Kluyveromyces lactis: one gene and its partners. The protein of the gene in region 3 interacts with the protein of the main gene of each other region in a pairwise test. Links are inferred from orthologs where the notes say so. Each region holds a gene or a part of one and is shown on either strand. Other genes may lie near its edges.

What was found. The genes of interacting proteins can lie anywhere in the genome.
Region 1: the proteins of SHR3 (region 3) and YMD8 interact in a protein complementation assay, tested with the Saccharomyces cerevisiae proteins (2 studies listed by BioGRID). The link is inferred for Kluyveromyces lactis from reciprocal best matches to the Saccharomyces cerevisiae genes SHR3 and YMD8.
Region 2: the proteins of SHR3 (region 3) and SND3 interact in binary tests that used the Saccharomyces cerevisiae proteins (3 or more experiments, as listed by UniProt). The link is inferred for Kluyveromyces lactis from reciprocal best matches to the Saccharomyces cerevisiae genes SHR3 and SND3.

What each region holds. Positions count from the first base shown.
Region 1 is NC_006042.1:941,578-944,768, forward strand, and holds YMD8 (Ymd8p), read right to left. Parts: upstream 1,816-3,191; coding exon 505-1,815; downstream 1-504. Other genes in the region: KLLA0_F10153g (uncharacterized protein), read left to right, coding at 2,211-2,771; ABP1 (Abp1p), read right to left, coding at 2,924-3,191.
Region 2 is NC_006038.1:832,079-834,629, reverse strand, and holds SND3 (Snd3p), read left to right. Parts: upstream 1-1,474; coding exon 1,475-2,047; downstream 2,048-2,551. Other genes in the region: glucose-induced degradation complex subunit VID24, read right to left, coding at 1-216; NEDD8-activating protein UBA3, read left to right, coding at 2,353-2,551. UniProt on the Saccharomyces cerevisiae protein: Functions in the SND pathway, a SRP (signal recognition particle) and GET (guided entry of tail-anchored proteins) independent pathway for targeting a broad range of substrate proteins to the endoplasmic reticulum.
Region 3 is NC_006040.1:704,083-706,692, forward strand, and holds SHR3 (Shr3p), read right to left. Parts: upstream 1,124-2,610; coding exon 515-1,123; downstream 1-514. Other genes in the region: MRPL22 (mitochondrial 54S ribosomal protein uL22m), read left to right, coding at 1-272; RPS3 (40S ribosomal protein uS3), read right to left, coding at 1,543-2,256.

The sequences.
Region 1 (3,191 bases), on a different chromosome or scaffold from region 3:
ATCCAGACATGCTGCTAAACGGGCCGGAGAAAATACGGAGATACTTATCTTGAATACGTAGTTAGTTGTGTTCTTCGTGTTAAGTGATGTGCTCATGTTGATCGGGTAATATATTAATCATTTGCACTCTATAAGAGTAATGAAATAACTGTCTGCTCAGGGAATCCTAGTTTACAGTCTTTCGGATGCAACGCACGTGATCTCATTCATATATGGCAGTTTAAGCATTTGATTCTAAAGTCCGAAGCTGGCATTAGAATACATCTAAAACGTGTAAATTGAGTAGTGTACATGTTTAATATAGTTTACATTTCGAGTAAAGCTGTCTGAAGCTTATAGGAAGCTGAATTCTGACTTTGTGAATTCGGGATTTGATATGGTTATTATTCAAATGCATATGCAATGGAGTGTTTAGTTTATACTTCATGCAGGAGAGAAAAAAAAGAGTGTGAGATGAAATCGATAAAGGATAGAATGCAAATATGGTGAATGATGCAGATTCACTTATTTGGAATTACCCATTACGGTGTCGTCACTTTTGTTTTTAGTGGGTTCGGTAATGGTACCTGATGTTAGCTCTGGTAGGTTAGATTCGATTGATTTTCTGGAATTCAAGGACCCTAATTCCCATACAGTCGCCGAGTCTCCACTGATGTTGTCTTGTAAATTTGACCAAATATCACCATCATGCGTAGATGTACATGGGGGTTCATCGGTTTCTACTAGTTGGTAGTCCTGTTGTACTTCTTGTAGTCTTTTTCTTTGCATGTATCTGTAGTAGTTGTAATAGCATACGTCGATTAGTACAACAATCATGCCTAACCAGTTGTAAAATCCTAGCCTTTCATTGAATACCAGCATGCCTAAGAAAACGGTGAATAGTTCTTTGATGATCCCGGTGACACTTAAAGTTAATACAGGAGCCAATTGTAATATACCAAACTCACACATTGTTAATATGAAAACAAGGCAGCTAGGGAGTGTGAGAAGCGCTAATCCACGTAATAGAGCCGCGAGTTTCGAATGACCTTCCCAAGTCATCAATTCAGAATGCAGTACATCAGGAATCGGACGTTCCACTATGAATGAAGTGGAAAATAGAAGTATAGTCATTGGTAAAGCTAATTGATATAGAGTGATGACCGGGTTTTTCTTAGTAGCAGGTTTGTCAGCAGCCATCAACTCATCACCATCGTTGGGTGACAAGACAATGGTGTTCTTCTTGTGGTTGAGAATAACTTGAACGTAGACCCATCTGAACCCTCCTAGGGCACAACTTATCACCACAAGTATCACACCAAAGGTTTCCTGAATTTCACCATGAGTCTGAGAGCTATCTGAGTTTATTGGTTTTAAACCCATCATCACAACACCACAAAACATCAATGTCACTATAATGAATAGTCTCCAAGATGGTACTTCCACCTTGAATAGACAGCCAAAGAAAAGAACGAATGCAATAGTAGATGATTTGACAATTGTATAAACAGTGAATGGAACGTATTTGAAGGAAATGTTGCCTAAACCAATGTCACCAGCAGTTGCTATAGCAGTTGGGATAATGTACTTTGCATAGTACTTCCAATCACCTTTGTTCAAGTTTTCGGGGGTTAGTTGACCTTTCCACCGGAGATACAGATATGCCATACCCCATAACTGTGTTTGGTGCAAGCCTGTCACCAACAATGGGTATGGAATATGCAAACTTCTATTAGGATCGAACATCCATTTGTTGTACATGGTAAGAAGAATGGCTGCAATATACATCCCCATGATCAAAGTGAAGATCCTCACTGTGTCTCTATCCATCTTCATTGTTTTTAGCTATTTTATATTGACAAAAGTACTACGCCAGGCTTCTTCTAATTTTGTATTAATATCTCGTCTCCCTACAGTAGCAATGATTCACACAGATCTCCCAGAACTTCCATTAAACAAATCAATTGACTTCGAGGTTCTATGTTATTTCATTCTCTACATGTGGTAGGCACAAACCTAGTTACGCATCTTTTTCATGTTGAACGAAACCTATTTTCTTCTTAGATGCTTTCCTATGGATGAGGCTGGTGAAAAAAAAAAAAAAAAAAATTAATGAACCACTAACAAATGAGACTAGGACCCTATTGAGATAACTTACAGGGTTTTTATGAACCGGAAGCCGGAACGTTATATATCAAAGTAATCGTCGTACCAATTTGGCTCCCAAAATAATGTTGTTTTTGACATCTTGTGCCACCTTGTCAGAGAATATCAGAAGGATTTTCCCAAAAGATACAGAACAATCACCAGCTGAATATACCTTCAAATTAGTATGTACCAGCTGTAGAGAGGAGCACGATTCCCCTATTAGAATCAATAGGTTTGAATCTCATGACATGCCTGGAAGTAAAGGAAATGCCTCGTTCGTGATGAAATGTAAATTTTGTGGCAATGAGTGTTCAATAAACTTGACCAGGACTAAGGAAGACTTATATAATTTAGATGAAGAATCTAATTTCGAATTGATTGAACAGGGTAAAAAGGACAGAAAGAAGGTTGGCTTACGTTCTGTTCCTGTGGAAAAAGCTGTTTGGCTCGAGCTTGACTGCAGAGGATGTGAAGTAACTAAATTTGAACCTGCTGACACTATTTTTGTAGCTGAACTAGTTTCGAAGAAGGAAATGGAGTTTCAGTTTGAAGACGACGAAAACGAATGGTATGATTATGATGACGATGCTGGAGAAGAAGTGAGCGTAGTAGATATGAACTTTGAAATTGTAAAAGGCAAATAAGTAGACTTTTGTTTAGTTTACTTTTGTACTTTATTTCTTTAACATTATTTACTTGTAAAGTATACATGATATATTCATTTCAAAGTCCCACCAACTTATAACATCATCATTTATTAACAATGATAAAGTTAGAGTAGTGGTAATTTATTGGATCATTCCTCTAAGTTGACGTAATTACTTGGGAATAGACCCTTTTCACCTGATGATTCAAGTTCACCCAACCACCAATCATCATCGACAAATTGAATATTAATGATTCTTTCATTTTCTTCAAAAGTCAATTCATTATCTTCGCCGGCTTCGTAATCATATTCAGCAATAGCTGATGGTCCGGATTCTTTCTTTCCAGGTTTGGATGCTCTTGGTGCTGGAGATGGAGGAGTATTTTGAGACTTAGAAAATGCTCTTTCATCATCATCT
Region 2 (2,551 bases), on a different chromosome or scaffold from region 3:
TCTGTGCAGCGAAGTGTTCCTGAAATATGGGTTTCTATGGAAAAAAGGAGTCAAAGGCGCAGGGAATGCTATAGGTGATTGCTGTTTTTGCTGTTGCTGTTGCTGTTGCTGTTGTTCCTGGGTCTGACCCTGACCCTTATATGGAGACGAGCTACTCGCCTTGGCGAGTTGCGTCTCCAACCCAGAGCTATGCGAACGTGTATCTTCGTTGATCATCTGTAAAATGTATGAATGTATCTTGCCTTACAACTTGTAAGTTGTAACTAGTTTTCTAAAGCAAGTAACTAACTCACTTGACAAAGGCAATCTGCGATGAAGCAGCGAACAGATTAATACGTCCAACAATAACCACTCGGTATATATACATATATATAGTAATAATAATAATAATAACTATCTCAATCAAGAAGGTAATATAAAAAGCATCACCAGGCCACCTTTAAAAAGCGAAGACCAGATCGACATCGATAAAGAAATAAGAAAAAGAGATAAAAGGAAAAGAAATAAAACACGGCAAAGAAACCGACAATGAAACACGCGGAAGAGGAAGATTTCCAGTTCCAACCATGACTCTATCCTATCAACTGGACTGGGAAAAACCAATGAACAAGGCAGAGACAGAAGTAAAATGGCTGCATAGGTGAAAGGAGTGACACATAATGGAAAAAAGTAAAAAGAGAGTAAATGTGTTCAGGAGTGAATTATGATCGAGGTGCGAGTCTGGTGTTGAAGGAAAAGAAACGGGGGGAAATATCGAAGAGACTGTGCACCGGTTTCTGGGCAAAATACCCGGAAAAACCTTTCGTTTTGGATTTTCTTTTTTTCCGGCACCAAGTTGGAACAGAGAGGTACCCAACGAAATGGCGGAGGAAGAATCAAAGAAGGACCAAAGTTCACAAAAAGAAATACGAGAGAATGTTGCTACAGGGGAAAGGAACATTCACAGACATAGCCCGATCCGGTTTGTTCCGAGGTGCGGGTAACAACTTAGCGCAGCTAACTCTTTCTTTCTCTACGCTCGGTGTATGCTGTCAAAAAAGTGTGGCTCTTCTAGTCACGTGATTACTGTTATAACGCGCCCGCTTATGTTACCCGGATATATGTATATTTGCTATATTTGTATTTTCGCCACCGTTCAACGTTATTCCGGGTAACACAATGGGTATCTCTCTCATCGTCAAAAGATTTTCTCGTCACTTCTTCCACATTCAGACTGGAATTTAAAATAAAATCTGTATACCATCTTTTCACATACGTATCTATTAAATGATGCACTACTACTTGTTGCACGTATTATCGGAACTACTCTTTTTCAACTTTATATACTTACTGATTTATGTATGCCTTTTCTAATAATTAGTTAGTTAGTTGTCCTTTGTCCACTGGAATCTGCCGTCGATAAGCAATTCATAGTTAGAAGAGAAGTGCTCTTTCTTACCAAGCCAATCCCAGCTGTAACTCTCTAACCACCACCATGAATGCTCAAATCAGTAACCTAGTCATCATGTTGATCATGATGCAAGTATCTCGTCGTTTGGATATGGAGGATCCTTCGATCGTGTTGTACATCCGTATCGCTTATGTCGCTTCTGTTGCCATCACTTGGTCCATCTACCAATACGCTAGAGCTCAAATCGTTAAGAAGAACGATTTGGCCACTTTGAAATACGTGGCTCCAGCTAACCCATTGGGTGGTCAAACCGAGAAAAAATTGGAAGTCACTACCGTTCGTGATTACGATTTACAACAGATTGATTCTGCCATTAAATCCATCTACACTGGTTTGGCTATGATGGGTTTCATGCATTTGTACATGAAATACACCAACCCATTGTTCATGCAAACCATCTCACCAATCAAGTCCGCTTTGGAACATAACGAAGTTCAAATTCATTTGTTCGGAAAACCAGCTTCTGGTGATTTGAAGAGACCTTTCAAGACTCCATCTTTGTTCGGTGGTGCCGGTGGTGCCAGTGAACCAAAGACTGACAAGAAATCTATCGAAACTGCTGAAAAGGCTGGTAACGGTGGTGTCAAAGCTGAATAATCGGGACGCGCATCGTTGCGTTTTCCAATCATGTGTTTTCTTCATCCATCTCTCACCATTCTCTTATAAATAAACACGTATATATGTATATAAATGTACATGCGTGTATGTATACAACTATTAAGATACCTCAATAGGATGTTTTATCGTAGCTTTTGTTCAGTTTCTTTCGTGTTTAAGTGTTAAATTGTACACATAGACTTCGCACTTTATTTGAAAGAAACGTGAATATTATTCTATAAAGATCAGACCCAACCCTTAACTGTTACTGATCGAGCCGACCAGATCAATATCCTCCAAGCAAAATGGATGTCAGTGATGTAAAAATATTGATCCTTGGTGCCGGTGGTCTTGGATGTGAGATTGTCAAGACATTGGCGCTGTACGGTTTGCCAGAATTACATATTGTCGATATGGATACCATCGAATTGACCAATTTGAACCGTCAATTTCTATTCAGTACCCGTGATATTGGCAAACCAAAAGCGTCTGTAGCTGCAGAAG
Region 3 (2,610 bases):
AGCTTGGCTTGGATGCCAATGACCTATACATCTCCCAGATATGGACCGGCAGTGATGGATTTTGGCAAAAACGTGTCGAATGGAAGGGTAGAGGTAGACGTGGTCTCATTGAACACCCATATGTGCATATCAAATGCATATTGAAGACCAAGAGTGTAACGAAGAGAAGACTAGAGCACGAAGCCAAACTAAAAGAACAAAGGAAGAAACCGTGGGTTCAATTAGCAGATAAACCCATCAGAGGTTCTATGGGTGGTGTTTACAAATGGTAATGAGATATTAAACATTATCATATTACGTTTATTTCCAATGATAATGGGTGAAGATAATATACAGCAATTAAATCATCAATAATAAGGTCCTTAGATTGTCTTTGGGTTTCATCTCAAGTTATCCATGTCGGAATAGCCAAGTATTTCATATCATTTATATAATATATAGAACAAGAGCTTGTAAATAGTGAAAGCAACGCGAAATACTTCACCGCATCAAACTGTAAGGAAACAAATTTCGTCTATTTCTTCTTCTTAGATTCCGTTTTAGCTGGTTCAGTAGTTTTCTCCGCCTTCTGTTGGTTAGCGGCAGATTCCTTCAATTGGTCTTTCCTCCATTGATCTAATCTTTGTTCATATTCCCAGGTACTGTACCACAAACCTCCTTGCAACACTAAGACACCAGCAAAGACAATTAAAATAATGATATTGGAAGAGGCAACAACAGCAATACCTTGCGCCTCAGAGACTTCACCCCAGTTATGGTAAACCGCAGATTCAACACCGGTCTTGATATTTGTTAAGAAAACACAGATACCCAAAACGTACAAAGCCAATGAACCGTATTCAAATAATTGCAAATCTGGATTTGGCTTGTATACCCTAATCAAGGAACCAATGACTCCCACAATGGCCACCGCACCAAGCATATAAAGGGTTGGCTTGGCCGTGTAGAATAGAGTCTGGTAGTGTTTCAAAGCGTTCTCAAAATGCTCCGGCGTGGCAGCAGGATTGAATAGGATATTATAGTCATATGGTTGATTAGAAAAGAAGATCCCCATCAAAAAAGTAGTTGATCCAATGATCAATGCTGTACCTACAGCACAAAAATCCTTATAAGTTAGGCCCATATTTACTTTCAGTCAATGTGTTTAGTGAGCGATACCTACGTTCTCTTAAAAATGGAACGTATAGACCCTACGTGTGGTATTAAATGGTTAACAATTCATCTATAATTGAGCCATTGGTTTTTTCAGTACGCACTATATATTCTCTTTTTTTTTAATAATTTACATGATTTTTGCCCACCGAATTTTTTTGATTAGTATGAAAGATAAAGGAACTGAAAGGCGGAAAGGCATTATCGGAAGGCGCTATCGATAAATCATTTTAAAAATCCATTGATAAAAGCAGGACGTTTTAATCGATGTCATCTGGGCATAGATTACTTATTTTTAAAAGAATTGATGAGTTTCTTAATATTTATACATATAAGAACGGTATTTAATAGACTAATTAATAATATAGAATCAAACAGATATCAATTGATTTAAGCAGATTCAGCAGCTTCAACTGGTTCAGTTGGTCTGTAATCCTTGACAGAAGGTTCCAAAACTGGTTCTTCTTCCTTTGGTTCGATGATGGTAACAGCATCTGGCAAAGCCTTTGGACCAGAGGTGTTTCTAGATGGGTCCTTCATGATCTTAACCTTAATACCCAAAACACCTTGTCTCAACAAAACGTGTCTGGTAGCGGTTTCAATGAAGTCGTTGACTGGTTGACCGGAGTGGATCAAGAAACCGTCAGCGAACTTCATGGACTTGGCTCTAGCAGCTCTCAACTTACCGGAGATGACAACTTCACAACCCTTGGCACCAGATTCCATAACGTATCTGACAACACCGTAAGCAGCTCTTCTGATGGCCAAACCGTTCAACAATTTGAACTTCATGGATTCAGCTTGAGCAACAGCGGACAAACCACGGTCATGGACTCTTTCAGCGTATAAAGCAATGGTACCACGCTTGTACTTGAATCTCTTTTCAATCAACAAGGTCAATTCGTTGATTCTTCTACCATTTTCACCAACAACATCTTGAACCTTAGTAGCTCTGATGATAATTTCGGTCTTGGTTGGAGTAACTCTGACTTCGACACCAGAGTAACCTTCTTCAGCCAATTCTCTGGTGAAGAATTCGTTCAATTCGGCGTAGAAAACACCGTCAGCGACAAGCTTTCTCTTCTTGGAGATAATGGCAACCATTTTTACTTTATTTGTTCGTCGGGGAGCTCGAAATTATAGGTGATAATAAAACTAACTAAAGTAAGTATCTTGTATGTCCAATGGCACTTATGTTCATAATGAACCAGATTGTAAAGCGATGATGAGAACAATATTCGTCAAACCGTCCGAATCGCTGCGATTGGTATGGTGAAAATGAAAAAATCATCTGAAAGACAGTATTTACTCACCAACACATGTGGTGTATGGGTTAATGCTTCAGATAAATGAACATTTTCAATGAGATAAGTACCCAAAATGGCAATGCAGAAAAAATTGGAAAAAAAACTAAAACAAAAATGTCCGGGTGAGCAGTCCCAGGAACATATATTTTCA